Stegostoma tigrinum: one gene and its partners. The protein of the gene in region 1 binds, or shares a complex with, the protein of each later gene. Links are inferred from orthologs where the notes say so. Each region holds a gene or a part of one and is shown in the gene's direction. Other genes may lie near its edges.

What was found.
Region 2: med18 (region 1) and ccnc share a complex: the UniProt entries of both Homo sapiens proteins name them as parts of the mediator complex. The link is inferred for Stegostoma tigrinum from reciprocal best matches to the Homo sapiens genes MED18 and CCNC.
Region 3: med18 (region 1) and med31 share a complex: the UniProt entries of both Homo sapiens proteins name them as parts of the mediator complex. The link is inferred for Stegostoma tigrinum from reciprocal best matches to the Homo sapiens genes MED18 and MED31.
Region 4: med18 (region 1) and med21 share a complex: the UniProt entries of both Homo sapiens proteins name them as parts of the mediator complex. The link is inferred for Stegostoma tigrinum from reciprocal best matches to the Homo sapiens genes MED18 and MED21.

The regions. Positions count from the first base shown.
Region 1 is NC_081377.1:42,903,414-42,911,379, reverse strand, and holds the start of med18 (mediator of RNA polymerase II transcription subunit 18), read left to right. Parts: upstream 1-4,705; 5' UTR 4,706-4,796; intron 4,797-4,835; exon of another isoform or gene 4,836-5,315; intron 5,316-5,357; exon of another isoform or gene 5,358-5,847; 5' UTR 5,848-5,872; coding exon 5,873-5,945; intron 5,946-7,966. UniProt on the Homo sapiens protein: Component of the Mediator complex, a coactivator involved in the regulated transcription of nearly all RNA polymerase II-dependent genes.
Region 2 is NC_081357.1:49,313,478-49,320,979, forward strand, and holds the start of ccnc (cyclin-C), read left to right. Parts: upstream 1-4,483; 5' UTR 4,484-4,679; coding exon 4,680-4,711; intron 4,712-4,953; exon of another isoform or gene 4,954-5,082; intron 5,083-7,502. UniProt on the Homo sapiens protein: Component of the Mediator complex, a coactivator involved in regulated gene transcription of nearly all RNA polymerase II-dependent genes.
Region 3 is NC_081380.1:46,203,020-46,211,079, forward strand, and holds the start of med31 (mediator of RNA polymerase II transcription subunit 31), read left to right. Parts: upstream 1-4,821; 5' UTR 4,822-4,978; coding exon 4,979-5,069; exon of another isoform or gene 5,070-5,207; intron 5,208-5,828; exon of another isoform or gene 5,829-5,920; coding exon of another isoform or gene 5,921-5,960; intron 5,961-6,527; exon of another isoform or gene 6,528-6,557; coding exon of another isoform or gene 6,558-6,603; intron 6,604-6,929; coding exon 6,930-7,004; intron 7,005-7,494; coding exon 7,495-7,591; intron 7,592-8,060. UniProt on the Homo sapiens protein: Component of the Mediator complex, a coactivator involved in the regulated transcription of nearly all RNA polymerase II-dependent genes.
Region 4 is NC_081371.1:59,248,339-59,256,358, forward strand, and holds the start of med21 (mediator of RNA polymerase II transcription subunit 21), read left to right. Parts: upstream 1-4,898; 5' UTR 4,899-4,958; coding exon 4,959-5,000; intron 5,001-8,020. UniProt on the Homo sapiens protein: Component of the Mediator complex, a coactivator involved in the regulated transcription of nearly all RNA polymerase II-dependent genes.

The DNA.
Region 1 (7,966 bases):
AGAGAGTTGTTAAGAGTTTGGAAAGCGTCACCATGGACTGTGGAAGAGGTGGATTCCATACAAAGTTTCAAAAAAAGAGCTGGATAAATATTTGAAAGTGATAGATTTAGAAGGTGATGGAGGTAAGACTGCAGACTGGGACTGGCTGGGTAGCTTTTTCGGGAGTTGGTATAGACACGACTGGTCAAATGGACTCTTTCCGTAAAATTCTCTTAAAATCTACCGCTCTTTCTGTGGGGAAGTTTTTCCCAGGCTGATTTCACTTACTTTTGCATTACCTGGGAAGGAAGCTGCCTTATAGAGAGCAGAATATTCCGCTTTTAAGAATGCTGTCAGATCAAACACCAATCACTCGCTAAAGTGTTGGCCATTGGGCTTCTTGACCCAGAGGGTGTTGTGGCCCTGCCTGAAGCTGCCAGCCAATCAAAGGTCAAGTTGTACAGAACTGTCAGAGGGTCTGTGCTGCTCAAACACGAGGGGTAGCACCCGCGAGCAGGTGAGTGACTTTTGGGTGGGGGTGGCAGGATTATGGGGGCATTGGGGAGATTGGGCTTGGGGATCAGAGGCAAAGCCGCTAGTGGTCCGGGGTGAGGCTATGGCTTGTGGTTTTTATAATTCGATGCTGCAAGTCCAGGTATCACTCGGGGAAAGCTATGCTGCACTCCTTCACAATTTCAAACCCAGACCCGGTACACTTTACCCAGAGCAGGTGAAAAACAGGTGGACACCTGAATCAGCCGATTGGTCAGTGGGAAAACGCCAAACATAATATTGATCAAAGTAGTGAGGACTTTGACAAAGTGAAGAGATTTTAGTCCATTCCAACAGTGAAATTTGATTTGTCTTTTTGAAAGCATTTCACAAAAGAAATAAAAGACTTGACTGGTTCTCTATTGAAGTATTTATTTTATAGGAGTATACATGCAATAGTTTCACAGGGGTCGATGGCTCATGTCTGTGTGCGGTAACTGACAGACCTAAGGAACGACAACAATTCTGCTAGGGCTTGAATTGAAGATAACAAAGTGTGAGGCTTCTTCCTGTCCCGCAGGTCCGACCAGTCCCCCTCCACCGACACCCACATTCGCCTAGCCGAACTTGTCCTCACCCTCAACAACTTCTCTTTCGATTCCTCCCACTTCCTACAGACTAAGGGGGTGGCCATGAGCACCCGCATGGGCCCCAGCTATGCCTGCCTCTTTGTAGGTTACGTGGAATAGTCCCTCTTCCGCACCTACACAGGCCCCAAACCCCACCTCTTCCTCCGTTACATTGATGACTGTATCGGCGCCGCCTCTTGCTCCCCAGAGGAGCTCGAACAGTTCATCCACTTCACCAACACCTTCCACCCCTACCTTCAGTTCACCTGGGCCATTTCCAGCACATCCGTCACCTTCCTGGACCTCTCAGTCTCCATCTCAGGCAACCAGCTTGTAAATGATGTCCATTTCAAGCCCACCGGCTCCCACAACTACCTAGAATACACCTCCTCCCACCCACCCTCCTGCAAAAATTCCATCTCCTATTCCCAATTCCTCCGCCGCATCTGCTCCCACGATGAGGCATTCCACTCCCGCACATCCCAGATGTCCAAGTTCTTCAAGGACCGCAACTTTTCCCCCACAGTGGTTGAGAATGCCCTTGACCGCGTCTCCTGCATTTCCCGCAACACATCCCTCACACCCCGCCCCTGCCACAACCGCCCAAAGAGGATCCCCCTCGTTCTCACACACCACCCCACCAACCTCCGGATACAACGCATCATCCTCCGACACTTTCGCCATCTACAATCCGACCCCACCACCCAAGACATTTTTCCGTCCCTACACTTGTCTGCCTTCTGGAGAGACCACTCTCTCCGTGACTCCCTTGTTCGCTCCACACTGCCCTCCAACCCCAGCACACCCGGCACCTTCCCCTGCAACCGCAGGAAATGCTACACTTGCCCCCACACCTCCTCCCTCACACCTATCCCAGGCCCCAAGATGACTTTCCATACTAAGCAGAGGTTCACCTGCACATCTGCCAATGTGGTATACTGCATCCATTGTACCCGGTGTGGCTACCTCTACATTGGGTAAACCAAGCGGAGGCTTGGGGACCGCTTTGCAGAACACCTCCGCTCGGTTCGCAATAAACAACTGCACCTCCCAGTCGCAAACCATTTCCACTCCCCCTCCCATTCTATAGATGACATGTCCATCATGGGCCTCCTGCAGTGCCACAATGATGCCACCCGAAGGTTGCAGGAACAGCAACTCATATTCCGCTTGGGAACCCTGCAGCCCAACGGTATCAATGTGGACTTCACCAGCTTCAAAATCTCCCCTTCCCCCACCGCATCCCAAAACCAGCCCAGTTCGTCCCCTCCCCCCACTGCACCACACAACCAACCCAGCTCTTCCCCTCCACCCACTGCATCCCAAAACCAGTCCAACCTGTCTCTGCCTCCCTAACATGTTCTTCCTCTCACCCATCCCTTCCTCCACCCCAAGCCGCACCTCCATCTCCTACCTACCAACCTCATCCCACCTCCTTGACCTGTCCGTCTTCCCTGGACTGACCTATCCCATCCCTACCTCCCCACCTATACTCTCCTCTCCACCTATCTTCTTTTCTCTCCATCTTCGGTCCGCCTCCCCGTCTCCCTATTTATTCCAGAACCCTCACCCCATCCCCCTCGCTGATGAAGGGTCCAGGCCCGAAACGTCAGCTTTTGTGCTCCTGAGATGCTGCTGGGCCTGCTGTGTTCATCCAGCCTCACATTTCATTATCTCAGATTCTCCAGCATCTGCAGTTCCCATTATCACTAGGACTTGAATTGAACCTGGGTACAGTATTTTCTGGGCTAACAAGGTGTGGAGCTGGATGAACACAGCAGTCCAAGCAGCATCAGAGGATCAGGAAAGCTGACATTTCAGGCCTATACCCTTCTTCAGAATTTTCTGGGCTGGTGTTGTAAATATTACCTGTAGGTGGATCATAAGGGCGCAGTGTTTGAACTAAGAGATAGCTTATGGATAAACTGTCCAATTTCACCATGTTAACATTTTCAAAAGAGGATTAAGCATCTCATACAGGCAATTCACTTAAATATGCATTCCCAAAAAATAGGCATTACTTAGGAAAACTGCAGGCAGTCATTGGATCAAAATATTCCAGCTGTTTAACGACTGTCCAGAGACTGAGCTCGGCAACCATATAAAGACTGGTACCAGTCTGTAAAATTGGGTCCTTTTAGGAAGGAGAGATCGGATATGTCAAGTTGCTGCTCAGGACCTTGGCCTCCATCAGAATATTCAGGTGTTTTTACAGTCTCCGGCTCAGCTTTGAATGCAACACTTTGAGATCAGAAAGATGTTTTCAGTCTCCAGCTGCTGGGAATGATTCTCTCTCTAAAGACATTGTGGGTCAAACCACATCAGGTGGATTGCAGCAGTTCAAGAAGGTAGCTCATCCACACCTTCTCAAGGAGTGCCTAGGGATGGGTAATAAATGCTGGTCCAGCCAACAACACCTACATCTGACAGTGAATAGAAAAGAAAGATTCAGCTTGTCTCATGTTCAACTCCCCCAGGGTCACTTTTTGTCACAGCAATGATGAGGGAACATTTCTGGGAATGGCCAGCAGCTCAGCGACACTGCGGGATGTCAGGGTTCAAACATGGACTTCTTGTTTATTCAGGATCTGGGGCAGGGAGAGGGGTGGGGGAGGGGAGGAGGTAAGGAAGGGGAGGGTTTAGGGGTGGGGAAAGGTGGGGAAGGAGGTTGGGAGGGGGTTAGGGATGGGGAGGAGGGGAGAGTGGAGGTGGAGGTTGGGAGGGGGGTAGGGGTTGGGAGGGGGGTAGGGATGGGGAGGAGGGGAGGGGTGGGGAAGGAGGTTGGGAGGGGTGTAGGGATGGGGGAGGGGGTGGAGGTTGGGAGGGGGGTAGGGGTGGAGGAGGGGGAGGAGGTTGGGAGGGGGGTAGGGGTGAGGGTGGAGGTTGAGAGGGGGGTAGGGGTGGGGGAGGGGGTGGAGGTTGGGAGGGGGTAGGGGTGGGGGTGGAGGTTGGGAGGGGGTAGGGGTGGGGGTGGACGTTGGGAGGGGGTGGAGGTTGGGAGGGGGTAGGGGTGGGGGTGGACGTTGGGAGGGGGTGGAGGTTGGGAGGGGGTAGGGGTGGACGTTGGGAGGGGGTGGAGGTTGGGAGGGGGTAGGGGTGGGGGTGGAGGTTGGGAGGGGGTAGGGGTGGGGGTGGAGGTTGGGAGGGGGGAGGGGGTAGGGGTGGGGGTGGAGGTTGGGAGGGAGGTGGGGTGGGAGGGGGTAGGGGTGGGGGTGGAGGTTGGGAGGGGGGTAGGGGTGGGTTGGGAGGGGGTAGGGGTGGGGTGGGTGGGGGTGGAGGTTGGGAGGGGGGTGGGGTGGGAGGGGGTAGGGGTGGAGGTTGGGAGGGGGGTAGGGGTGGGGTGGGAGGGGGTGGAGGTTGGGAGGGGGGTAGGGGTGGAGGAGGGTAGGGGTGGAGGTTGGGAGGGGAGGGGGGTAGGGGTGGGAAGTGAGAGGAGTGAGTGGAGGATGAGAGGGGAAGGAGGTAGGGGGAGGTGGGGGCTTGGTATTGGAGGGGTGGGGGAGGGGGGTGGAGGTAGGGAGCGGGGTAGGGACGGGGAGGAGGGGAGTGGGGAAGGAGGGAGGGGATGGGGGGGGTGGGGCCGCGGGGGAGGGCGAGGAAGCGATCTTGGGGAACACAAATGATGGGGCACCCTATACATTTCCGGTTCCGGTTTCCGCCCGGACGGTATTGGCGTCTGCACGCGGGTCACTTCCGGTGAGGTTCCTGGGACCGAGAGACAAATACCCCCCCCCCGCTCTCGGGGGGGGGGGGGGTAATGCCGGCACGATCCTGTCACACATTCCCCCCCACCCCCCCTCTCCAATGTTTCCTTCCTCCTCCAGCATCCCGGTCTCCCGTCTCTGGAACACTGCCCCCGATGTCCTGGGGAGATGTGACTGTGTTCAGGGGAGGGGGCTCTGTCACTCATATTAAATTGGGACAGTTTCCATGCTCCCGTGGGGCTGCGCTCTCATTCTGAGAAGTGACTGATGTTGGTTTAACCTGGGGGTTCCCCTGGGTGAGGGTTGAGGTCCCCCCTGGGTGAGGGTTGAGGCCCCCCCTTGGTGAGGGTTGAGGTCCCCCCCCCCAGTGAGGGTTGAGGTCCCCCGGGTGAGGGTTGAGGCCCCCCCGGTGAGGGTTGAGGCCCCCCCTTGGTGAGGGTTGAGGCCCCCCTGGTGAGGGTTGAGGCCCCCCCTTGGTGAGGGTTGAGGCCCCCCCTTGGTGAGGGTTGAGGTCCCCCGGGTGAGGGTTGAGGCCCCCCCGGTGAGGGTTGAGGCCCCCCCCGGTGAGGGTTGAAGTCCCCCTGGTGAGGGTTGAGGCCCCCCCTTGGTGAGGGTTGAGGTCCCCCCCCTCCCCCCCGGTGAAGGTTGAGGTCCCCCCGGTGAGGGTTGAGGCCCCCCCGGTGAGGGTTGAAGTCCCCCCGGTGAGGGTTGAAGTCCCCCCGGTGAGGGTTGACGTCCCCCCGGTGAGGGTTGACGTCCCCCTGGTGAGGGTTGAGGTTCAGATTCATGGTAACCTCAGCTGGTGTGGGAAGTGGACATGAGAGATGTTGGATCAGCCACAATCCTATTGAATGGCAGGGCAAGCTCAAGGGGCTGAATGGCCTCATCCTGCTTGTATTTCCTGTGGCATTATGTTGGCATAACGTTGTATATAAATCAGCTATCCAGAAAACCAGCCCCTATGTTACTGAAACCCTGGTTTTCAAGATGTCCACTTTTCAAACATTCCAGTCTCTTCACAGCATCTTTCCCCCTCCCCACAGGTAGGTTTCCTGGAGACTTGTCAAAATGGAGGCCCCTCCTGTTACGGTGTTACCTGTCATTGGTGGAACCATTAATATGATGGAATATATTCTTCAAGGTATGAAATGTGGCCCTGTTAATTTTACTGTAAAATGATTTCAGCAGATAAGTAACTGGGGTTTCAGAACTAAAACAGTTCTTCAGTGATTGGTACGTGAGTCAGAATGAGTAGACATTCTGCCAGGTTGCTCCTTGTGGGTAATATTCTATTATACCTTGTGTCCTTAACTGTAAAGTAAAGTCTCTATTCTGTGAGGACCATATGGCTGCCCTCATTAGAGAGAGAGAGAGAGACGACTGATCGTGGTTTAACCTGACATTGCTGGAGAACCACAGATTATTCTGACATAATGGGAACTGCAGATGCTGGAGAATCCAAGATAACAAAGTGTGGAGCTGGATGAACACAGCAGGCCAAGCAGCATCTCAGGAGCACAATATAAGATATTCACTTCTCTCAGCAGTATAATGGTTGCATTCTGCTCATTGTGAATAAATGTTAAACAGGTTAGACAGTTCCAATAAGTGTGCTCCATATTTGGTTATTATCCTGTCAATTTTATTCCCACCATTTAACTTGAAAGCTGTAGATGTGTTGGAGTCTTCCACCTAGCCACTGGCATTGAGGAAATTTGCACTTTTCCTCCTCTTGACCCAGGTTATTTGAGGCCATTTATAGTGCCCTGAATGCCAGCGAAGCTCCATACAAACCTGGGACCTTGCTGGGTAGAAATGTTGTTACTTGTCCTGCTGAATTATTACTCATGTTCTAATCTTTGATATTTGTAAAAATTATGACAAAGCCTTATTTTTCTCTAAAAAAACCCCCAGAATAACGGGATTCGAATGTTGTTGAAAAGAGAGATGTATTACTGAAGTTTTTGCATTGTGTTGATCAGGACAATTGCAAGAAATCCTAATTTTTAAAAAAATTCATTTGTGGGATGTGGGCCTTGTTGGTTGCCAGCATTTCTTACGCATCCCTAGTTGCCCTTGAGAAGGTGATGGTGAGCTGCCTTCTTGAACCGCTGCAGTCCGCCTGCTGTGGGTTGACCCACAATGCAATTAGGGAGGGAATTCCAGGATTTTGACCCAGTGACAGTGAAGGAACGTCAATATATTTCCAAATCAGGATGGTAGTGACTTGGAGGTGGTGGTGTTCCCATATATCTGCTGCCCTTGTCCTTCTAGATGGAAGAGGTCGTGGGTTTGGAAGGTGCTGTTTGAGGATCTTCGGTGAATTTCTGCAGTGCATCTTGTAGATAACACACACTGCTGTTACGGAGTGTCAGTGGTGGAGGGAGTGGAGTGGATGCGATGTGATGATCAAGCGGGCTGCTTTGTCCTGGATGGTGTCAAGCTTCTTGAGTGTTGTTGGGACTGTACTCATTCAGGAAAGTGGGGAGTATTCCATCACACTCCTGACTTATGCCTTGTAGATGGTAGACAGGCTTTGGGGATTCAGGAGGTGAGTTACTTGCTGCAGTATTCCCAGCTTCTGGCCTGCTCTTGTAGCCAGTCTGAGTCCAGTTGAGTGTCTGGTAAATGGTAACCCCCAGGATGTTGATAGTGGGGGATTCAGTGATGATAACACCATTGAATGCCAAGGGGCAGTGGTTAGATTGTGATCTTTTGAAATTAGGAATTTGAGAGAAAACAATTTATTTTCCTTTTATCCTGTAGTGTAAATTATTGTGACATTAAAAGGAAATGACGTTAAAGCTTTGGCAACATATAGTTGTACAGCGTAGAACCAGACCCTCTGGCCCAACTTGTCCATGCTGACCAGATTTCCAAAGCTAAACTAGTCTCATTTACCTGCTTTTAGCCCCTATTCCACTAAACCTTTCCTATTCATGCACTTGTCTGGATGTTGTAACAGCACCTACCTCTTCCTGTGCCCATTTAACTTGCCTCTCTATCAGCAAGATTCCGATTCAAGATTATCAAGTGTCCGTTAGAATATTAGAAATGTAAACGGAATGTTAGTGATTTCATTGTCAACAGTGACTAACTATTATAGCTGGCGCTTCTGCTTGGTATCCTCATATTGTTAAAGTCATTTTAATGATTGGAAAC
Region 2 (7,502 bases), on another chromosome or scaffold:
GCGACCTCAGTTGCTACTCAGAGACATACTTTTAAAAATATTTCTAAGTACAGACAAAGCACGAATATTTTAAAGAAACCATATATTTTAGCTTTTTGCTTTCCACTTCACAATTACCCTTCCCAACTTCTATGCTGCAGGGAAGCATAAAAAATCGTGAGGCAAATAGGGAAAATGAAAAGATAGTACATTGATTGTGTGTCAGTGTAAAACATCTTCTCGGGAACAGTGACCATAACATGATGCAATTTAACATTCCATTTAACAGTGAGAAATCTGGGTCAGAACCAATTGTGATAAACATAAGTAAGCATAATTACTTAGGACAGAGGACAGAATTAGCTGGAGTGGATGAGTAAGGGAATTTAGCAGAAAAGATGGGAGAGAAACAATAGCAGGAATTTATGAAAATAATTCATGACTCATAAGAAAGATATATGCCAGTAAGGAAGAATGATTATGGGAAAGGGACAAGTTAGCCATGTTAAATAGATAAGTCAACAATAAAGTAAAATATGCAATGAGGCAAAGATTAGAGTTAAACCAGAGGTTTGAGAAGGTTTTAAACTAACAGAAAAAATTGAGTTAAAAGGGAGAAAATAATCTTGAAGGTAAACTCGCATTTACCATCAAAATGGACAGCAACAGCATCTTTAAATATACAAAATGGAAGAGAAACACCGAAGTGAAGATAGGCCCTTTAGAGAATGAGGCTGGGGAAATAATAATGGTAACTAGGACGTGGCAAAGGAGTTGATTAAATACTTTGCACAGTTTCATAGTAGAAGACATTAATACCATTACAAAATTACTAAATAATCACGGAGAAAAAGTGAGAGAGGAAATAAATACAATAACAATCACTGGAGAAAAAAGGGAAACTAATGAGGCTTAAAGCTAATACCTGTGGGTTGCATTCTAGGATATTATAAGAAGTGTCAACAGAGATGGTGGATGCACTGGTAATAATCTTTTGAGAATCTTTAGATTCTGCAAAAGTCCCAGACAATTGGATAACTACCAATGTAACACCTTTATTCAAAAAGGTTGGTGAGGGAGCCAAAAAAACAAGTAATTATAAGACCATAAACTAAAGGAGCAGAGTTAGGATACTCCGCCCATTGAGTCTGCTCCAAAGTTCAATCATAGCAGGTATGTTTCTCAACTCCATTCTCCTGCCTTCTCCCTGTAAGCCCCAAACCCCTGACTAATCAAGAACCCATCTCCATCTTAAAGACACTCAATGACTTGCCCCTCACAGTCCATTGCAGCATTCAGTTCCACAGATTACCAATCCTCTGAGAAATTTCTCATCATCTCAGTTCTAAAGTGTCATCTCTTCATTCTAAAGTTGTACCCTTGAGTCCTAGTCTCTCGTACTACTGGAAACATCTTCTCCATGTCCACTCTGTCCAGGCCTCTCAGTATTCTTTCAGCTCCCCCCTTCAACCTTGTCAACTCCATCGGCGACACACCCAAAATCCTCAAATGCTCATCATATGACAAGTCCTTCACCTCCAGGATCATTCTTGTAAACCTCGTTTGGAGCCCCTCCAAAGCCAGAACATCCAGTCTTAGATAAGGGGCCTAAACTGCTCACAATATTCCAAATGTTATCTGACTGGAGCCTAATATAGCTTCACCAGTACAGCTAGCCCTCTTGAAATGAACAACATTAAAGTTGCTGGAAAAGCCCAGCTGGTCTGGCAGCATCTGTGAAGGAAAAAAATAGAGTAAGCGTCTCAGGTCTGGTAACCCTTCCTCGGACCCTTCCTCTTGAAATGAATACTAACATGGTATTTGCCTTCCTAATGGCCAAATGAACCTGCATGTTAACTTTAAAAGAATCCTGATCTAGGACTCCCGAGTTCCTTTGTGCTTCAGATTACCGAAGCCCTTCTTTATTTATAAAATAGTTTATGCCTCTTTTCTTTTTACCAAAGTGCATGGTCTCACACTTTTCCACATTGTATTCCAGCTACCACTTCTTTGTGTACTCTTCTAGTCTGTCCTTCTCCCCACTTCCCCAACACTAACTGTTCCTCCATCTTTGTGTCATTTTCAAACAATAGCAGCAATGGTCGTAGATCATTCATTGAGATCACTCATGGATAACCTGAATTATTGTCCTCACACTGACCCCGAAGGAACTCTACTAGTTTCAGGCTGCCATCCTGAAAATGATACACTTATCCCCACTCTCTGCCTTCTGCCAGTCAGTTAATCCTCTGTCCATGCCAGTACCTTGCCCCTTATACCATGGGCACTTGTCTTATTTATCAGCCTACTGCATGGCACCTTGTCAAATGCTTTCTGGAAGTCCAGATAGATAATGTTCACTTTCCCTCCATTGTCTAACTTGTCTATTACCTCCTCAAAGAATTTTAAGAAACGTATCAGGCATGACCACCCCTTGATGAGGTTATGCAGACTCGGCAATATTATACCTTGCACTTCCAAGCACTCTGTAACCATATCCTTAATATAGGTCTCTAAAACCTTACCAATAACTGAGGTCAAGTGAACCAGCCGATAATTTCTTGTTTTCTACCTCTATCCCTTCTCTGTGACCGTCCCTGACTCCAGTGATTCCTAAAAGATCATCACCAATTCCATCACAATATTCTCAGCTATCTCCTTCAGAACTCTGGGGTGTAATCCATCTGGTCCAGGTGATTTATCAACCTTCAGATCTTTCAGCTTCCCCAGAACCTCTTTAGTAATGGCCGCTACACTCACTTCTGTCCTGTTTTGAAGTTCTGCTATGTTACTGGTTATCCCCACTGAAGACTGATGTGTAGTACCTGTTCAGTTTTTCTGCCATTTCATTGTTTCTCATTACTACTTCTCCAGCCTCGTCTTCCAGCAATCCAATGTCCACTCATCGTTCTCTCTGACATTTTATATAGCTAAAAGAACTATTTTAATCTTTTTTAAGTCACTAGCTAGCTTACCCTCACATTTCAAGTTCTCCATCCTTATTGCTCTTTTGGTTGTCATCTGTAGGATTTTTTTAAAGGCTTCCCAATTCTCTAGCCTGCCACTAGTCTTCACGACGTTGTCTTTTGCTTTTATGTTGTCCCTAACTTCCCTTGTCAACCATGGTTGTCTTGTCCTCCCTTTAGCATGTTTTTTCGTCCTTGGAGATGAATTTCTACTGTGCCTCATGAATTACCCCCAGAAGCTCATTGCTGTTCCACTGTCTTCCCTGTTATGCTCCCCTTCCATTCAACTCTGGCCAGATCCTCTCTCATGTCTTTGTAGTTACCTTTCTACAGTCATAATACCATTATATCTGATTCCAGCTTCTCCCTTTCAATCTGCATTGTATCGTACTATGGTCACTGCCCATTGGGGTTTCTTCATCTTAAGCTCTCTAATCAAGTCTCCTTATTACACATCATCAAATCCAGCCCTACCATAAGCAGTTTCAAAAAACGTCTTGTAGACATTCCACAAATTCCTTTCCTTGGGATCAGCAAACAAGCTGATTTTCCTAGTCCACATGCATATTGAAGTACTCATAGTTATTCTAACACTGCCTTTCTACATGCCTTTTCAATCTCCTGATTTATTTTCTGCCCATGTCCTGACTACTAATGGGAGAGCCAAGGATTGGGAGCATGAAATTGCTTTCCCAGTCTTTCCCCCTGCCCATAACACCCATGGTTTCTTTGCATCTGTTTTACATTTGTGTAGGGATAGTTTTATAATAGTAGAGTTATTTGTTGGCAATCTACACTACAATCTATTTTATGTGGAATAAGTAATGATTCTTGCTAAGTGTTTAACCTAGTCCATGCTTTCTGTCAACCTGGATCTAAGACAGGTAAATTTGAGAATTTTGCTGAGTTTAAATATAGACTTTAACTTTGTGATGATTCTGGGAATATCAGGACCTGATTTCAAGCACACTACCCCAGTGAGTTATGACAATGTAGCAGGAACATTTAAAATATTAAGATCACTCTACCGTCTGAAGGGAGTTCCAAGTATAATTGTGTCTACAGAGACTAGTGAGAGGCAGGAATAATTTCCACCTGTACTTCAAAAGGATCGCATACCACCTGAGATGTATACCTTCATGTTGTAGTAGGGGTCAGAGACTCATTCTTTTAACTATTTTGAAAACAAATTGGAAAATTCAAGAGGAAACACAGTACAGACATAACAAGGTGTAGCTGGATGAACACAGCGGGCCAAGCAGCAACAGAGGAGCAGGAAAGGTGACGTTTCAGGTCTAGACCCTTCTTCAGTTTCTACTATCTCTCACCACAGTACAGACATGTATGTTTATGTGTTTATTTTAAAAATCATAAAAATTCTTATTCTTCTTATCAAACCATTTAGTATTCTACAGTCTTTTTTAAAAAAAATGAAATCTTCTGTGTTTAATCATATAATAAAGCTGTTTTCTCGAGTGTTGAGGAACTGACAGCGAGTAGAGTTTTTGGACTCATCTGCAGCTGCTTTGACTCGCCCGGAAGACTTTTATTGGGAACTTGTAGCGTGAACTCGGATTCCTTGACGGAATGATTTAGGTGTTACATAAGGCCTAAAAGGCCGAAATGAAGATTTAGGATTTGCATTTTACATACACTCGGGGAGTGAAAAAACATTGGAAGAAGAAAGATTAGCGAAGCCCAGCGAGACGCGGCCGGGGTTTTGGTTGAGAGGAGATGGCGGGGAATTTCTGGCAGAGCTCGCACTAGTGAGTGTTTGATCTTTAGGCTGAGGCCTAAACACCAACAGAAAAAGTAGATTCTAGAGAATTATTTTCAAAGCCTCTTATTTCAGACGCGCACGTCTTGCTGTCTGCATTATTTCTGTAATTTATTTCGGTGAAGCTGCTGCATTACATTCCGGCCTGTTCTTCTTGTTCCAATCTCTTTTAAATGTGAAAACAGACTTTTTTTGGGCGGGGGGAGGAGAGGCGATGAAGTCATTCGTAGCAAAGAGATAATTAGATTCTTCATGTATCTGTTTCGGAGTGGGGGTGTTGGCTTTTGTTTTGCCTAGGGATAGCAAAGCCAACCTATAATTGCTGTATTTATAAACATCTTCAGAAAATCTAGTGTAAATGTAAGTGAAATATTACCATAACCATCTGATATAATGGGACCGTAGGGCTAAGTGGGAATTCTATAGTGAAAGTCTATAACGTCTTAATGCTGTAATTTTTTCTCAATGATATGATGAGGTTTTATATATTTCTTGCGTTTTTTGACTTCTAACATGTTATTGTCTTCGCGATTTCGTGGCCACGGAAGCTGCTTAAGTATTTGCTTACGTTTAGAGGTGATTCATTTTATGAATGAATGTTTTCAAGAGATGTGATGCATTTTGTGCGAACTGCATAACTGTCGTCAGTCGAGCTGTGTTTTGTATATTTCTACTGTTTCATTGTTTCAATGTGAAAGCTTTTTGCGGTGGCCAAACACGAGGTAGCCATCCACACAAACAACAATTTGCCTACAAAATAGTGTGTCAGCAGCTTTTCTTCCCGACAAGTCTAAAATCCGATGAATAGCTGCCGAACAAAATTTTCACAGCCCATGACTTGAAATCCTCGAGTCTTCATAATATTACCATTTTAAACGTTTCATTATCAGAACAAGTAATCTCTTTATTAGTGCTGCCTGCAAAAATAAACACATTCACACACTTTGGAATACAGATATTAATCTCTAACAATCCCTGACAGATCGTGGCTCTCCAAATGCAGATGTAGTCTGTCAGAATTCTGATTCTGCAGATGCAGGAATAGGCTTGAATTTTAACCTAAAAATTTGGTAAGCAAGTTTTTTGCCATTGGTTGGTTGGAGTCAGTTAGTTTGTTCAAGAGGCTTTTATAAAAGAAAACAAACTGTGAAAAGCTGATCTTTAAATAGTTATTTTCTGGGATGCAAGTGCTGTTGGCATTTATTAACCGTTATTTTTTCTAAAAAAAAATGTATTCATGAGCTCCTCATGAGAAAGTGGTAGTAATCTGTGTCCTAGAACTGCTGCAGGCAATAGAGTCGTCGAGCTGTCCAGCATGGAAACGGGCCCTTTGGTCCAACTTGTCCATGCTGACCAGATATCCTAAATTAATCTGGTTCCATTTGCTGGCATTTGGCCCATATTCCTCTGAACCTCTGTACCCATCCAAATGCCTTTTAAATGTTGTAACTGTACCCACCTCTACCACTTCCTCTGGCATCTCATTCCATGCATACACCACCCTTTGTGTGAAAAGGTTGCCCATTAGGTCCCTTTTAAATTTTTCCCCTCTCACCTTCAACTATGCCCTCCAGTTTTGGATTCCCCTATCCTGGAAAAAAGACCATGGCTATGCACCCTATCCATACCCCTCATGATTTTATAAATCTCTATCAGGTCACCCCTTAGCCTCCGATACTCCAGGAAAATAAGCCCCAGCCTGTTCAGCCTCTCCTTGTAGTTCAATCCTCCAATCCCAGCAACTTTGGAAATGGATCTGGCTTTTGCTCCGAACCCTGGGAAATAATCTCCCCCAATAGATTTTAAAAACAGTATATCTCTGATAGAGAGGGAGATGGTTCCCAGAGGACTCCGGAACTAACTGCCTTCCTCTTCTCTGCCTGATGATCACTTATCCAGTTTCTGCCTGATCCATCTTTAGCTGTGAAGCTGGATAAACACAGCACGTCGGACCACATCGGAGCAGGGAAGTCAACATTTCAGGCTGATGTGGCGTTGGTATACCTGTAGCGCTGTTAGTAAGGGACTGCAGGTTTTTGATCCAGTGACAGTGAAGGAAGATGAAATATTTCTAAGTCAGGATGGTGTGTAGTTGCTGTGGTACTTCCAGGAGTTTGGTTTTCCCTTGCATTTGCTGCCCTTGTTCTTCTTGGAGTAGGTGTGGAAGATGCCGGCAAGGGATATTTGGTGAAGTGCTTTATTTTATAGATCATACATGTGGCTGCCGTTTTGTGTTTAGTGGTGAAGGGAGTGAAAGTTAAGGTCAGGGACAAGGTAGTAACCTCGTGGGCTGCATTGTTTCAGATGGTGTTGAGGTTTAAAATGTTGTTGGGACTAAACTCCTTTGGGTAAGTCAACAGTATTCCATAATTGATAATGGGAACTGCAGATGCTGGAGAATCCAAGATAATAAAGTGTGGAGCTGGATGAACACAGCAGGCCAAGCAGCATCTCAGGAGCACAAAAGCTGACTTTTCGGGCCTCGACTTTATTCCATCATATCCTTGGCTTGTGCTTTGGGTAGTGAGAAGATAAGTTAGCGAGTTTTGAGAAGATTTTGTAGCTCAGGTTGAGGTTCTGGATGTGAGTTTGCTCGCTGAGCTGGAAGGTTCGTTTTCACTATCCACTATCACTAGTATCCTTACATACAGATGAGGAAGGGCACCACTTTGATTGGGACAACACATCCATCCTAGGACAAGCCAAACAGAGACACGCACGAAAATTCCTAGAAGGATGGCATTCCAACCGGAACTCCATCAACAAATACATTGATTTGG
Region 3 (8,060 bases), on another chromosome or scaffold:
ATCCAGACACAAAGTGAAGCACACACTGGGCCAAACAATAGTTTTTTGTGGTCCTGTGGGTCCCCATCAGAGATACACATCCCCGGGGTGGGGCGGGGGGTGTTCACAGGAATGATTCAGCAAACAGAGCATGACACTGAGGCCTGACAAACCGAGCTGTATCTTTGAACAGAGCCGGAGGAACGCAGCAGGCCAGGGAACATCAGAGGAAGAGGAAAGCCCATTTCTGATGAAGAGTCTAGGCCTGAAACGTCAGCCTTCCTGCTCCTCTGATGCTGCTCAGCCTGCTGTGTTCATCCAGCTCTACACCTTGTTATCTCAGACCCCAGCATCTTGCTGTCTCTGAGCATCTTTGAACATGATATTTCATAGAATCCCTACAGGGTGGAAACAGGCCCTTCGGCCCAACAAGCCCACGCCGCCCCTTGAAGCATCCCACCCAGACCTATCCCCCTATAACCCACACACCCCTGAACACTACAGGCAATTTAGCATGGCCGATCCACCTAGCCTGCACATCTTTGGATTGTGGGAGGAAACCCGCACACACACATGGGGAGAATGTGCAAACTCCACACAGACAGTCGCCCGAGGGTGGATTTGAAAACGGGTCCCTGGCCCTGTGAGGCAGCAGTGCTAACCACTGAGCCACCGTACCGCCCCAAATCTTAGAGGATCGAAGGCTGAAATGGTTTGGGCAGGGGTGATATGGAGCTTGGGACCCTCTCTGCTGCTGAAAGCCACTAGTGCTGGGACGAATAAAATCTGTACAAGAACAGCACTCCAAGGGTGTGCAGAAAGACAGGGACTCACTCACCTGAAAGATTTGAAAACAAGGACGAGAATTTTTAGAATTTATTTAACTGGGAGTGAATGTAGGACAGCGAGTACAGGAAGTATGGGACTCAGTAAGAGTTAGGTGTTGGCAGCTAAGTATCAGATGAAGTGAGGAGAGTTCATAGAACAGGGAAGGTTACGGATGAGAAAGACAGGAGTGAGGGGATCAGCAGCAGATGGGGCAAACTCAAGGGGCATGTTTACAGCAGAAAAAGTCAGCAACGCAGACAGGCATGGAGTCAGAGGTTCAGCTCAGGGTCAAATAGGACAGTGAGGTACACGCTCACAAAGCACATTAAGTTAAAACACAGGGTAATTTCTCTCCAAATTGCAGGCTCAAAACATAAATACACATTAAACAGCACACTGCAAGCAGTTACAGCTAACTGCATGACAAGACTCTGAATCATATTTAATCGCAGGGGACAATGCTCAAAGTAATCAGTAAAAGAACAGGAGTAACGCAAGAAGAAATGTTTTCATACAGTGAATGGCACGGCACGGTGGCTCAGTGGTTAGCACTGCAGCCAAACAGCACCAGGGACCCGGTTTTGATTCCGGCCTCGGGCGATTGTACGGAGTTTGCACATTCTCCCTGTGTCTGCGTGGGGTTCCCCCGGGTGCTCCGGTTTCCTCCCACAGTCCGAAGGTGTGCAGGCTAGGGTGGATTGGCCATGCTAAATGCAGGGACAGAATAGAGGATGGGCCTGGTTCTTCAGAGGGTTACTGTGGACTTGCTGGGTGAAGGGCCTGCTCCCATACCATCGGGGAATTCTACAAATGCATCGCCTCAGTGAGTGGAGTAGGCAGGTTCAATCAAGGCAGATGATGATTGTTCCTTTGAAGAGGCAGAGCAGACATGATGGGCCAAATGGCTTCCTCTTGAAGCTTAATACTTCTGCACATGTGAGGTGCATGAGAGTGGTACCAGGTGATCATTTGGGTAGCTAGTATACACAGGCCAGGCTCAATGGCCTCCACCTGAGCATGGGGCAGGCTGAGTTCAGCAACGACCGGGAAATTGAAACACTGGGCTGAAGGAGATGGCAAACACTACATTTAGACGACAGAGAAAGAGTCAGAAAGTAGGGGGCCTCCTGCTGGAGTGACATTCCCTCTAGGCCAGGTGGACAGGTAGATAGATTGTTGGCGAGTGTAGCCATCACTGGGGGCAGACAGGAAAATGCAGAGGACACAACCTTATTGCCTAGCAGAGCAGATATGAGGGATCGAATGGCCTCATTTGTACACAACAGTCCCGAGAAAGGCCCTTCAGCCCATTGTGAGGACACTAGTCACAGAGTTGTGCAGCACAGAAATGGCCCCTTTGAACCAGCTTTCCTAAACTAAACCAGTCCCACTTGCCTCGGTTTGGCCCATATCCCTCGAAACCTTTCCTATTGATGTACCTGTCCAAATGTTGTAGCTACATCCACATCAACAACTTCCTCAGGCTGTTCATCCCACACATGCACCACCCTCTGTGTGAAACATCTGTGCCTCAGGTCTGTTTTAAATCCTTCTCCTCTCACCTTAAAAATATTCCCTCTCGTTTTGAACTCCCAACGCCGGGGAAAAGATCTCGGCTACTCAACCAATCCATGCCTCATGATTTTACAAACTTCTACAAGGTCACCCCCTCAACCTCCTACACTCCAGGGAAAAAAGCCCCATCCTATCCAGCCTCACCTTATAACTCAAATCCTTCATTCCCAGTAACATCCTGGCAAATCTTTTCTGAACCCTCTCCAGTTTGATAATATCCTTTCTAAAGCAGGGCGACCACAGTACTCCAGAAGTGGCCTCACCAACACCCTGTACAAGCTTAACATGACGTCCCAACTCCGATACTCAAAGGTCTGAGAAAAAAAAGGCAAGCGTGCTAAATGCCTTCTCAACCAGCCTGTCCCTATATTAGTCTGGCACCCCCTCAGAAACACTGAGCCTTAATCTTATTTGTTCAAGCATCAGGTATGATCCAAATAAACTCCGCTGTGCTGCTCACACTCGGTAGGTGTGTCTCAGCAGATTCATTCCAAGCTGAACCCAGTGTGTCCTGGGCTTTTAAACCAGCCAACTGGGTCATTGCGTGGTGAATGTCAGTGATCAGCTCCCTTGACATGAGAATGTTGTCTTGAGTCACAACAAAAATATTAACACCTCAAAACTAGACAGGCCACAAAACATTTCCCACAAATTGTACCGAAAGAATCACCTTCAATGCTAGAAAATGTCCCAGGGCCTAATTGAAAACACAAAGGTGGAGCGAGAGATGATGACAAAACCTTAATGTAGTCCAAAGGATTGGCATTTAAGATATGGGAAGGCCGGAGATTCCAGAGGTGGAAGGTGAAAAAATGCAGGAAACATTCAACATGCCTGACAACATCCACAGAGGGAGAGGGAGAGGGAGAGGGAGAGGGAGAGGGAGAGGGAGAGGTTGGGGGTGGGGGGGGACGGTGGTGAACAAACTGCACGGAAGCTGGTATCCCATCACATTTATTTACATGTGCACTGTGCACAGGCTGTGGTCAGCCAGCTCCTCTAAATCCCCTGTTTATGTTGTTGAGCCAGGGCTTCCTAATTGGCCCAGGTTAACAACCCCAACCAAGGACCTCATAGTCAATGAGATCCACCTGGTTCCAGTCACTATAGGAGGTAAATGTTTGACACCCAGACTCTGCTTTAGAATACCACAAACACAACAGTATTTGGAATTACCCCCATCCTATCTCTGACCATAAGGGTGTAGGAGCAGAAAGAGGCCATTTGACCCATCAAGTCTGTTATAGAATCCCTAGAGTGTGGAAACAGGCCATTTGGCCTAACAAACCTACAATGACCATCTAAATAGTATCCCACTCATACCCAAACCCCTACCCTATCCGTGTAACCCTGCATTTCCCACGGCTAACCCATCTAACCTACACATCCCTGGGCACAAGGGGCAACTTAGCATGGACAATCCACCTAAGATATGGAAAGAGGAAACCCATTCAGACATGGGGAGAATGTGAAAACTCCACACAGGCAGTCACCCAAGGCTGGAATCGAACCCAGGTCACAGGCGCCACGAGGCAGCAGCGCTAATCACTGAACTACCACACTGCCCCTGTCAGCTCAGCTAGTCAATGTGATGATGGCCTATCCTTAACTCCACTTCCCTGTCATTTCCCCAGATCCCTCTGTTCTCTAACCCTTCCCAGAAACATGCATCCTGTACAGGAAACCCTGAGCCTGCATTCACCACATTCTCTCAACATGTTCAGCGCAGTAACACAGTCATCCCAAGCCCAGACTCCTTCTGCATCAGGGTCCCTCTGATAGACATAACTGCCCCACCTTCCCCTCTTTCCCAGGGGCAATGCTTCAGCCCAGGGGGCAGCACCACCTCCTCCTGAGGGTCCTCCAGCCCAGGGGACAGCACCACCTCCTCCTGATGATCCTCCAGCCCAGGGGGCAGCACCACCTCCTCCTAATTATCCTCCAGCCTAGGGGGCAGCACCACCTCCTCCTAATTATCCTCCAGCCTAGGGGGCAGCACCACCTCCTCCTGATGATCCTCCAGCCCAGGGGGCAGCGCCACCTCCTCCTGATGATCCTCCAGCCCAGGGGGCAGCACCACCTCCTCCTAATTATCCTCCAGCCTAGGGGGCAGCACCACCTCCTCCTGAGGGTCCTCCAGCCTAGGGGGCAGCACCACCTCCTCCTAATTATCCTCCAGCCCAGGGGGCAGCATCATATCCTCCTGATTATCCTCCAGCCCAGAGGGCAGCACCACCTCCTCCTGATTATCCTCCAGCCTAGGGGGCAGCACCACCTCCTCCTGATGGTCCTCCAGCCCAGAGGGCAGCACCATCTCCTCCTGATTATCCTCCAGCCTAGGGGGCAGCACCACCTCCTCCTGATGGTCCTCCAGCCAAGAGGGCAGCACCACCTCCTCCTGATTATCCTCCAGCCCAGGGGGCAGCACTGACTCCCACTGTAAGTCGGAGTGGAATTACTTCAGTTGGCAGCTGCTATCGGGAGAAGTGACCCGCTTGCGAGCAGCTCGTTAGTTCTATTCATTCTGGTAGTTTGAACTGACGAGAAGGTAGGTGCTGTGACTAGTACCGATTAAGAGAAGGGTCAGACCTGCTTAATGGAGGCTGCTGTTTACACCGAATCTCTTCGAGCGGGAGGCGGAGAGAAGAAACAAACAATGGCGGCTGCACCAGCCACCATGGAGACAGGTAAGGAGCGGAAGTTAGCGGCCACGTGATAGCGAGCGGGGCGGAAATATCTGGCTCCATGATTGGGCGGGGCGGAAGTAAGGGCCTTCTCGTTCACTCTTGAAACTGGGAGAGAGGGACGTTTGCTGCTGACTCTGGGTAAAGATAACAGTAACGGAAAGAGGCAAATCAGCCCCTTGAGTGGTTGGTAGTACAGTTTCTATGGGCCGAATGGCCTTTACTACGATGCTAAGAGCCTGTTTTGGCACTAACTGAGACAGTGGCTGTTCTGTACTCTATCTCCATTACACGTAGTGCTCCTCTGTTGTAGCACTCTAGTGATCTCAGATACAAAACGGTTGATTGGGCCCTCGAATCAACTCCCTTTTTTGTAGGGTAGAGATCCACACATGCCTCCTCTGCTGACTAACCTGGTTCTGAATTTAAGATAATGCCCAGTAAACCTGAACTCAACTCCAAACATTGAAATGTTTTTCCTAGCGAGTTTTGAGAAGATTTGTAACTCAGGTTGAGTTTCTGGATCTTCACCGGGGGCTCATTGACGATGTTACCTAGTTTTCAGACGTCTCGTCACCAAACTAACCTTCCAGCTCAGCGAGCAAACTCACATCCAGATGTTTTTCCTTATCAACTTGTTTCAAAATACTCCATCAAAATCACATCTTTAACATGCTGCATTCCACAGAATACAGGCTTTGTTTATTTCACCAAACTTGGTCATTGGCCCCTACTGATTAAACAATACCTTTGTTCCTCCAGCTAAGCTCCTAAAAAAAATTTATTCATGGGATGTGGACCTTGCTGGTTGGTGAGCATTTAATGCCTGCCTCCTAGATGCTGTGGTGAAGCTTATGGTGAGCTGCCTTCTTGGGCCACTCCAGTTCCTTTGGGGTAGGTACATCCAAAGTACTGTAAAATAGAGGGGCTTTTATGTAGGAGTTTAGGCATCAATGTATGGACACTCGCATCACACCTGAGTTTGACCTAGTGTTTATCTGATACATTTGTTCCTTCCCACGTGCATGTGCCCTCTCACACCACTAGGAATTGCAAGAGTATGACTGCAGCTTAATATGTATCCTTGACTCTAGCTGGGGCCTTTGTGATTCACTTGAGGTCCCTCCCTGAGCTCATACCGAGGCTGAGCTTCCTGGTCTGGTGGTATATTTTAACATTGCACCAAGCATTGAACTGGGCCTTGCATATTCAAGGTCATCAATCTCCATGTGATTAAGTCATACAATGGATTCAAACTATCGTAAAACAAAATTAAAAAAAACTACAGCATATAGCTGGAGAATCTCAGCAGGCTTGGCAGCATCTGTGGAGAGAAAACAGAGTTAACATTTCCAGTATAGTCACCCTTCTTCAGAAGTTCTGAAGTGTTGAGTTCCCCAGCAGTTTTTTTTTGTTTCAGATTTCCAGCATTCACAGAGTTTTTTTTTGTTTTATCCGAAGGTAAATAAGATAAGAATTCCTGGAGAAGATATGATCTACGTTTATTGTTTGGATTTGAAGTCATGCTGCAATGATAGTACGTTGTCCTGCGAAGCGTGCCGTGTGTACATTGGCTGCCACTTCCTTGATTGCAAAATTAAAAAAGATAGTAGCAGCAGGAAGAGGTCACTTGAACCGTCGAGCTTACTCTGCCTGTCAGTAAGACCCTGGCTGATCTGACTAAGGCTTCAACTTGACTTGCCTGTCTGACCTTAACCCGTAAACCCCCTTCTCAAACAAAAATCATTTTACTTTATATTTTATCTTATTTGTGATGACTTTGGTTGAATTTATGCCTTAAGGTAATGAGTAACTTGTCCTTTCCCCCCTCTGCTCTCTCTCTCTCACTCTCTCTACCCCCAGAGGAACAGGCAAAGCTACGATTTGAGATGGAGCTGGAGTTTGTGCAGTGTCTGGCGAACCCGAACTATCTGAACTGTAAGTGCCAGTGGGATTCCCCTGGACCATTGGCCAGTTGCTGTTTCCAGCAGTGACATGGTAAAGTAAGAAACCACTGAGCTTCATCACAGCTACCGACAGGACGCTTTCTCCCTTCTGCATGAGGCAGCACATCAGTGTTATCGCCAGCCTCTTGAAGCATGTCTGTGATTGAACCAGACTTGGACCCATAGATAGAGAGGGAAGTGAGTCTCTTCTGATGTAACTTTGAAACGAAGCCCTGGGTGGGGAAGGGGAAGTGCAGGAGGCACTGAGCACCAAAGTGTCTGCTCCAGTGAAGCGTAGATGCCATGCACCTGAAGAGCGTAATAGACCCACTCACTTTGATGCAGTAATGTCTGTAATGACAAGGAGCTACCTCCCCATGCCCTGGGGATGGTACTCGCCAGTTAACAGTATCATTCTCTCTTCAACATTACCTTAGTGCTGGTGACAATACCGTAATTTTCTTTTTGTTTCAATGTGGTAGTTCTGGCACAACGAGGGTACTTCAGAGACCGAACGTTTGTCAATTACTTCAAGTATCTCCTGTACTGGAAGGAGCCAGAATATGCCAAGTACCTGAAGTAAGTATCCACCCCACTGGACAGCTTTTCACAGTAATCTTTGTCGTGGGATCAATATCCACTCAGTGGTTAGCACTGCAGCCTCACAGCACCAGGGACAAGGGTTCAATTCCACCCTCGGGCGACTGTCTGTGTGGAGTTTGCACATTCTCCCCGTGTCTGCGTGGGTTTCTTCCGGGTGCTCCGGTTTCCTCCCACAGTCCAAAGATGTGCAGGCTAGGTGGATCGGCCATGCTAAATTGCCTGTAGTGTTCAGGGGTGTGTGGGTTATAGGGGGATGGGTCTAGATAGGATGCTGCAAGGGCGGTGTGGACTTGTTGGGCCGAAGGGCCTGTTCCCACACTGTCGGCATTCTGTGATTCGTATCCAGGATAGCCCCAAATGCCATACATTCCATTCCTGGCCTGAAGGCGTCTGCTGTTCACTGGGATGAAATGCATTCCGGTACATTATACAACCGAGTCTGTCA
Region 4 (8,020 bases), on another chromosome or scaffold:
CTCCCAGTCGCAAACCATTTCCACTCCCCCTCCCATTCTTTAGATGACATGTCCATCATGGGCCTCCTGCAGTGCCACAATGATGCCACCCGAAGGTTGCAGGAACAGCAACTCATATTCCGCCTGGGAACCCTGCAGCCGAATGGTATCAATGTGGACTTCACCAGTTTCAAAATCTCCCCTTCCCCCACTGCATCCCTAAACCAGCCCAGTTCATCCCCTCCCCCCACTGCACCACACAACCAGCCCAGCTCTTCCCCCCCACCCACTGCATCCCAAAACCAGTCCAACCTGTCTCTGCCTCCCTAACCGGTTCTTCCTCTCACCCATCCCTTCCTCCCACCCCAACCCGCACCCCCAGCTACCTACTAACCTCATCCCACCTCCTTGACCTGTCCGTCTTCCCTGGACTGACCTATCCCCTCCCTACCTCCCCACCTACACTCTCTCCACCTATCTTCTTTACTCTCCATCTTCGGTCCGCCTCCCCCTCTCTCCCTATTTATTCCAGTTCCCTACCCCCATCCCCCTCTCTGATGAAGGGTCTAGGCCCGAAACGTCAGCTTTTGTGCTCCTGAGATGCTGCTTGGCCTGCTGTGTTCATCCAGCCTCACATTTTATTATCAATGATATTGCAGATGCTGGGATTTGGAATTAAAAGGGAAGGTCCCAGAGAAACTCAACATGTCTGGAAGTGTCTGTGAAGAGAGAAACATAGTTTACATATCAAGTCCGATCTGATTCTACCCTGGGCCTCACGTTGGTCACGCTGTGGTCTCATTTCCCATCTGCGTTTTGAAATTCCTCATGTTTCCCCGTGGTCATTTTGAATCTATAAATAACATATAATCCCAAGCAATCCATAGCCTTCAGTTACTTTATCTTCGCAGCTTAGCATGTACAATGTAACCTTGCGATCACAGGAAATTACTGCACAGAAAGAGGCCATTTAGCCTCTTATGATGATGTGAGTTTCAGCACCCTAACTGCAGCTGGTTATTCTGAACCTATTTGCCTGTCGATTGTGACTCAGCGTGCAGTGGCCTGGCTTCAGATGTTCAGCTCAAGTCTGTCTCTAGAGGCTTGAGTTTGTAAGTCAGGCCAACAATCCCAGAGTGGGGCAGTAGAACGTCAAGAGGTTCTTTATCCTCAACGGTGTTCATGAGGTGTGTGTAAGGGGGAGGGAAAGAGAGAGCGAGAGACAAACAGGTAAGCTTGACAAACTCCAGAAACGCAAGCAGAACCCAGTCCTGGTGCAGGTGATAGGGATCAGTGTCACAGAGGATCTCTAAGAGTCTTGCTGCTTTCCTCAGAGGCCTGCAAGGTAATCTTCCAGTCCAGGGTCTGCACATGGAGCAGGATGAACGTTTGATTTGATTTATTGTTGTCACACACACCGAAGTACACTAAAATGTTTTGTTTTGCATAGAGTGCAGGCAGATCATACATGGACATACAGATTGTAGGGCGTTTAGACAGAGTGAGGCATACAAGGTCAGGTTGCACAGGAGGTGCGCAAAGCAAGATCAACATTAGATTCGAAATTAGAGAGGTCCATTTAGCAATCTAATAACATCAGGGGAAGAAGCTGTTCTTAGAGTGATAAGGGTCATAGAGATGTCCAGCATAGAAGCAGACCCTTCCATTCAACTTGTCCATTCTGACCGCATATTGAAAATAAATCTAGTCCCATTTGCCAGCATTTGGCTCATATCCCTCTAAACTCTTCCTATTCATGTACTCATCCAGGTGCCTTTTTAAGTGTAAATGTACCGGCCTCGATCACTTCCTCTGGCAGCTCATTCCATATACACATCATCCTCTGCATGAAAATGTTGTTCCTTAGGTCCCTTTTAAATCTTTCCCCTCTCACCTTAAACCAATGCCCCTCTAGTTTTACACTCCCCAACCCTAGGGAAAAGCCTTGTCTATTCACTCTATCCATGCCCCCATGATTTTATAAACGTCGAAAAGGTCACTCCTCAGCCTCCAACACTCCAGGGAAAATAGCCCCAGTCTATTCAGTCTCTCCCTGAAGCTCAAACTCTCCAACCCTGGCAACATCTTTGTAAATCTTTTCTGAACCCTTTTAAGGTTCGCAACATTCTTCCTATTGCAGGGAGTTCTTGTATGTTTCTTTAGGCCTCTGTATTTTCTGCCTGACGGGGGTTTGGAAGAGATTGTTATTGGGGTGCGAGGGGTCTTTGATGATGTTGGTTTGCTTTCGACGACATTGAGAAGTGTAGATGGAGTCCATGAATGGGAGGTTAGCCTGTATGATAGTCTGGGCTGTGTTCACAACTTTCTGTAGTTTCTTACAGTCCTGGGAACAACAATTGCCGTACCAGGCCGTTAAGCACCCACACAGAATGATTTCTGTGGTCGATCGGTAAAAGTTGGCGAGGGTCCTTATGGGCATGCCGAACCTCCTCAGCTGCCTGAGGAAAAACAGGCATTGTTGTGCCTTCTTGATGGTCTTACCTATGTAGGATGATCAGGACGGATTGTTGGTTATCGTCACTCCTAGGAACTTAATACTCTCGACCCTCCCCACCTCAGCTCCATTGAAGTGCACGTGGCTTTTCTTCCAGTAGGTGCAGAGGGAGATCTCTGTGCCCAGCGGCCTGAAGAAAGAAGATGGCTCAGTAACGGCATCTCAGTCCGACATCCTGAGGATCAGCAAATCCTGTTGTGCCAGACTGTATGGAACTGTTTTACCATCTTTTGCACGTACACAATTCTTATGAATAAAGTATATTTTCTCCAGTACGGAAAAAGCCAAGTATCCCATATGTCTTCTGAACTACCCTATTGACCTGTCTTGCTACATTTAGGGATCTATGGGTAAGCACCCCAAGATCCTTCTTTTGTGTGTGGCTTCCTGGTGTCTGGGGAAACGCCTGTGGTCTTAAGGTCAGTCTGGATGGGCTGAATAACCTACTTTGGCACCTATGCCTTATGTAAGGCACAACAATAACACTTGGAAAGATTTACTGCCAGCTTTTTTCACAATTTCTAGTTTGTCTGCTCACGGCCCACATCGACTCTAGTCTCCTAGCCCATCTCAATCCCCTACAATTTGCTTAGCGACGTAACAGGTCCACAGCGTATGCTGTATCCCCAGCCCTGCACTCATCCCTGGAACATCTGGACAACAAGGGTACCAACATCAGACTCCAGCTCATTGACTACAGCTCCTCCTCCAACACCATTATCCCCGGCAGACTGATCTCGAAACTGCATAACCTTGGTCTCAGCTCCGCCCTCTGCAACTGGATCCTCAGCTTTCTGACCCACAGACCGCAATCAGTGAGGATAGGTAACTGTACCCCCTTCATAATAACATTCAGCACTGGAGCCTTCCAGGGATCTGTTCTCAGCCCCCTGCTGTACTCCATGCACACCTACGACTGTGTTGCCAAATTCTGAACAAACACCATCTACAAGTTTGCTGACAACACCACTGTAGTGGAACAGATATCTAACAGCGATGAGTCAGAATACAGAAAGGAGATGGAGGGCTTGGTGATGTGGTGCAATGAGAACAAACTCTCTCTCAATGCTGGCAAAACTGATGATTTATTTCAGAAAGGAGAAGACACACCCCCATCTACATCAACAGACCTGATGTTGACATGGTGACGATAACTGATAACATGTCCTGGCCTTCCCACGTAGAGACGATGATCAAGGCGGCACAACAGTGCTCTTCCTCCTCAGGCAGATCAGGAAATTTGGCATGTCCATAAGGTCCCTCACCACCTTCTACAGATGCACCCCATTGAAAGCACACTATCCGGATGCATAATGGCCTGGTACTGTAACTGCTCTGCCCAGGACTGTAAGAAACTACAGAAGGTGGTGTGTACAGCCCAGACCATCACAGAAGCCAACCTTCCATCCATGGACACCATTAATACATGGTTTGCTGCCACGAAAAGGGAGCCAACATCATCAAAGAGCCATCCCACCCTGGTAATGTTCTCTTACAGCCTCCACCATCAGGCAGCAGATATTACTTTCTGAAGAAGGGTCTAGGCCCAAAACGTCAGCCTCTCTGCTCCTCTGATGCTGCTTGGTCTACGGTGTTCATCCAGATCCACACCTTGTTATTCGCAGATTCTCCGGCATCAGCAGTTCCCACTATCTCAGGCAGAAGGTACAGAAGCCTTGAACACACCAATGGGCAGGTTCAGGAACAGCTCCTTCCCTGCCATTATCAGCCTGATGAGCGGACTCTCTAACCCGAAGTAACGCTGATCTCGCTCAGCGCACATTCCTGTGCAATGTAACAAAGTGTGAAGCTGGATGAACACAGCAGGTCAAGCAGCTTTTGTGCTCCTGAGACGCTGCTGGGCCTGCTGTGTTCATCCAGCATCTGCAGTTCCCATTATCTCTGCGCAATGTACCCTGTAGACCCCTATCTGAGCCTTTAGGATATGTACATCCCTTGCTTGCTATGATCGGCATGTACTCATAAACAAAGCTTTTCACTGTATCTCGGTGCATGTGACAATCGATCAATCAACAACTCAATCATCAATCATTCAATCTTCAGGGATAGTCTCTCAATCCTTTCAGTGATTCATTTGTGGCTAATAAGACCTGACCAAGCTGATTGCTGATTGGGGGAATGCGAACACCATCCTGTGGCTGCCCGTGGTTCTGATTGGGTAGACTGTGAATATAGCCCTTGTGATTGGTTTAATGTCCCCGTCTCTTATTGGAGAATCGAAGTCTAGCTACTGATTGGTCGTCTTACCCGCAATGTTCCCCAGATGATTGGCTACGTTATCCGGTCGCCCGCTCTGACTGGGTAGCTCCGCGCCGCTCGTCGTGGTGGCCTGACACTTGATTGGTCAGTTCTACCACCTAGCAGTAAAGCGGAGAACGATTGGTTGGGAGTAGACCCGAGCTTCCTCCAATGCCAGGGCGGTTTGTTGGCTTTTTGCTGGACGATGGCGGACCGCCTCACGCAGTTGCAGGACGCCGTGAACTCGGTGAGGGCGAGCGGCCAGAGTCCCGACTTGAGGCCGGGGTTAGCAGTGGGCCCGATGTGATAGCGCCGCTCCCGCCCAGCGGGTTATGGGGACGGGGGAGCGCCCTTCTGCGGGGCGGTCAGTCTTCGTGCCCACCAAGATGCCGACCAGGGCCAAAACACCCGCAACGGCTGAAGGCCGCTCCCCTCCTGTAGCCTGGGGTTCGTTTAATACAGCATCAAATACGCAGAAATTGCTGGAAAAAGCTGAGTAGGTCTGTGCAGGGTAACGTTTCGGGTCCAGTTCTGAGGAAGGGCCCCCTGCCCCTAAGCGTTAACTCTTGCCTTTTCCTTCACAGAGCTGCTGAGCTTTTCCAGCAATTTCTGTCTTTGTTCCTGATTCGCAGCGTCTGCGTTTAGAATCATAGATTCCCTCCAGTGTGGGAGCCGGCTCTTCGGCCCAACAAGTCCACACTGACCCTCAGACCGTCTTCGCACCCCCACGACAACCCATCTATTCCACCCTTCCCTGGACACTACGTGCAATTTCCCATGGCCAGTCCAGCTAACCTGCACATCTTTGGACTGCTGGAGGACGACCCCACTCTCACTCTCACTGTCTGTCTCTCTCGACACTCACACAATGTGCAAGCACTGAGCCACTGTGCCGCCCTGATCAGTCTTTATAAAATACACAGCAGCGGTCCCTTGACGGTGTGGTGCTCCCCTTCCTTCAATTGGACAGGCTATTTGAGGCACGCTGTCAAGCTATTTTCAACGCAGCGAGATATTGTGTGTTTGAGATCTTGCTGAATGTGATGGGTTCTAATCAGATTCTGAAATATGGTGAGAATTTTCAGATGTGAGTATCAAGGTAAAGACCTTGGAATGAAAATTGTCCCTTTTAAGGAATATTTAGAAATAGATGTATCTCAGTGGCATGAGGTTGCAGAAGACTTAAGTGTCCTTGTGTATGCATCACAAAAGGCTGTAATGTCAATTACTGAAGCATGCTTCAGCATTTAACGATGGCTAATTTAGTAATTAAATCTAATAGAATTTTCTTTTTGTTGCAAGGGATACTGAACATAACAAATGTAGAGCGATTATGCTTATTATTCAGGGCACTAGCTAGACTGCATCTGAAGTACTGTGCTCATCACTAGCCACCTTACTTCTGGTAGGGTGCAAATGCATTGGAAGCATTTTATAGATGGTTCACAAGACCGATACCTGGGATGGCAGGTTGTTTTGCAGAATGGTTGGAAACAGTAGGCTCGTACCAGCTGGAGGTTTGAAGAATATGTGACTTGATCAAATATTTAATCTTAATAGGGTAGATGTGAAGATGATGTTTTTTCTTGTGGGAGTATCTAGACTAGGGGTTACGGTTTAAAAATAAGGGGTGTCCCATTCAACAAAAGATGAGAATTATTTTTCCCTGAGGTGGAGTGTCTCTGAGCATCGCTTCCTGAAAAAGAAGTGGAAGCAGAGTCTTTGAATAGTTTATAAGGCAGAAGACATTAAATTCTTCATAAGCAAGGGGGTGAAAGGTTGGTGGCTTGAGGTAGGAGTTGGGTTTGAGGTTGCAATCACATTAGCCATCATGTTAAATGGTGGAGCGTGTTTGAGGGGCTGAATGGTCTGCTCCTTGTCTGTAAGTAAGTGTAATTTAGTCTGTTTCCACTCAGCTCTGATGTGTTTTCAGGTGAGCTACAAAACTGAATCAGAGTAAACACTGTTTACTGAACAGTTTGCTGTTTAGAATCTTTGCACGCCCACATGTTCTGTTTCATTTTTAAATTTGTCTTCCATCTTTCACACATCAGTGTGCTGTCAACAAATAACCTATGTAATTTGTATGAAGGGTAGGAGCCAACCTTGTGATTAGACTGTCAAACTTGTTCATAATTTGCACTGCTTGCCTTGATCTATGCTTTATAATTTGCTAGGGATAGAAAAATCCATTTGAGAATATTCCACCATTGAATTAGGTCATCACTGTACATAAACAAAACCCTCTCTTATACTGGAGATTGTCAATGCCCAGCATCATTACTAAAAAGAAAAACTAAGTCAGTGTTTCAGGTTGATGACATTTCACCAGAGCTGTCAAAAGTTGAGAGATGTAAACGATTTCAGGCAACTTCAGAGGCATGGTAAAAGAGAAGGGAACAAAGGAAGAAATGCTTGTGATAGTCTGAAAGGCAGGTCTAATTAAATGATAGAAGAGATGCTTATGCATGAGTTTCAATGAAATAACCAAAGAGGATGATTGGTTGAGTGGATGTCGTGCCAATCAGGCCGGCTGTTTTGTACTGATGGTGTCCAGCATCTTGAATGTTGTTAGGGCTGCACTCATTCTGGCAAGTGGGGAATATTCCATCACACTCCTGACTTGTGCCTTGTAGATGGTTGACAGCCTTTTCGGAGTCGGGAGTGAGTTACTCTTTGCAGTATTCCTAGCCTCCGACCTGCAAGTGTGTTATGTGACCAGTCCAGTTCAGTTTCTGATCAATGATAATGTCGAGGATGTTGATGGTGGGATATTCAGTGACTACAGCACTATTGAATGTCAAAGGGTGGTGGTTATTGCATGGCATTTCGATGACACTAATGTTATTTGCCACTTGTCAGACCAAGCTGGATATTGTCTAGATCTTGATGTATTTGGATATGGACTGCTTTGCAGTATATACTGTCTACAAGATACATTACAGAAATTCACCAAAGATCCTTAACATCATCCAAACCCACAACCACTTCCACCTAGAAGGACAAGGACAATAAATGCACGGGAGCACCAGCACCTGTAAGTTCCCCTCAATGCTGCGCACCTACTGATTTGGAAATACCTTGTCGTTTGTTTGAAATTGGAGAACTCCCTCCTGAACAGCATTGTGGGTCTACCTCCAGCACGTGCCGTTCAAGAAGACAGCTCACCACCACCTTCTCAAGGAGCAGGCAATAAATGTGACTAGCCAGCGATGTCCAAATCCCATGAGTGAATTAAAGAAAAGCCCCATTCTTGCATCTTTTTCC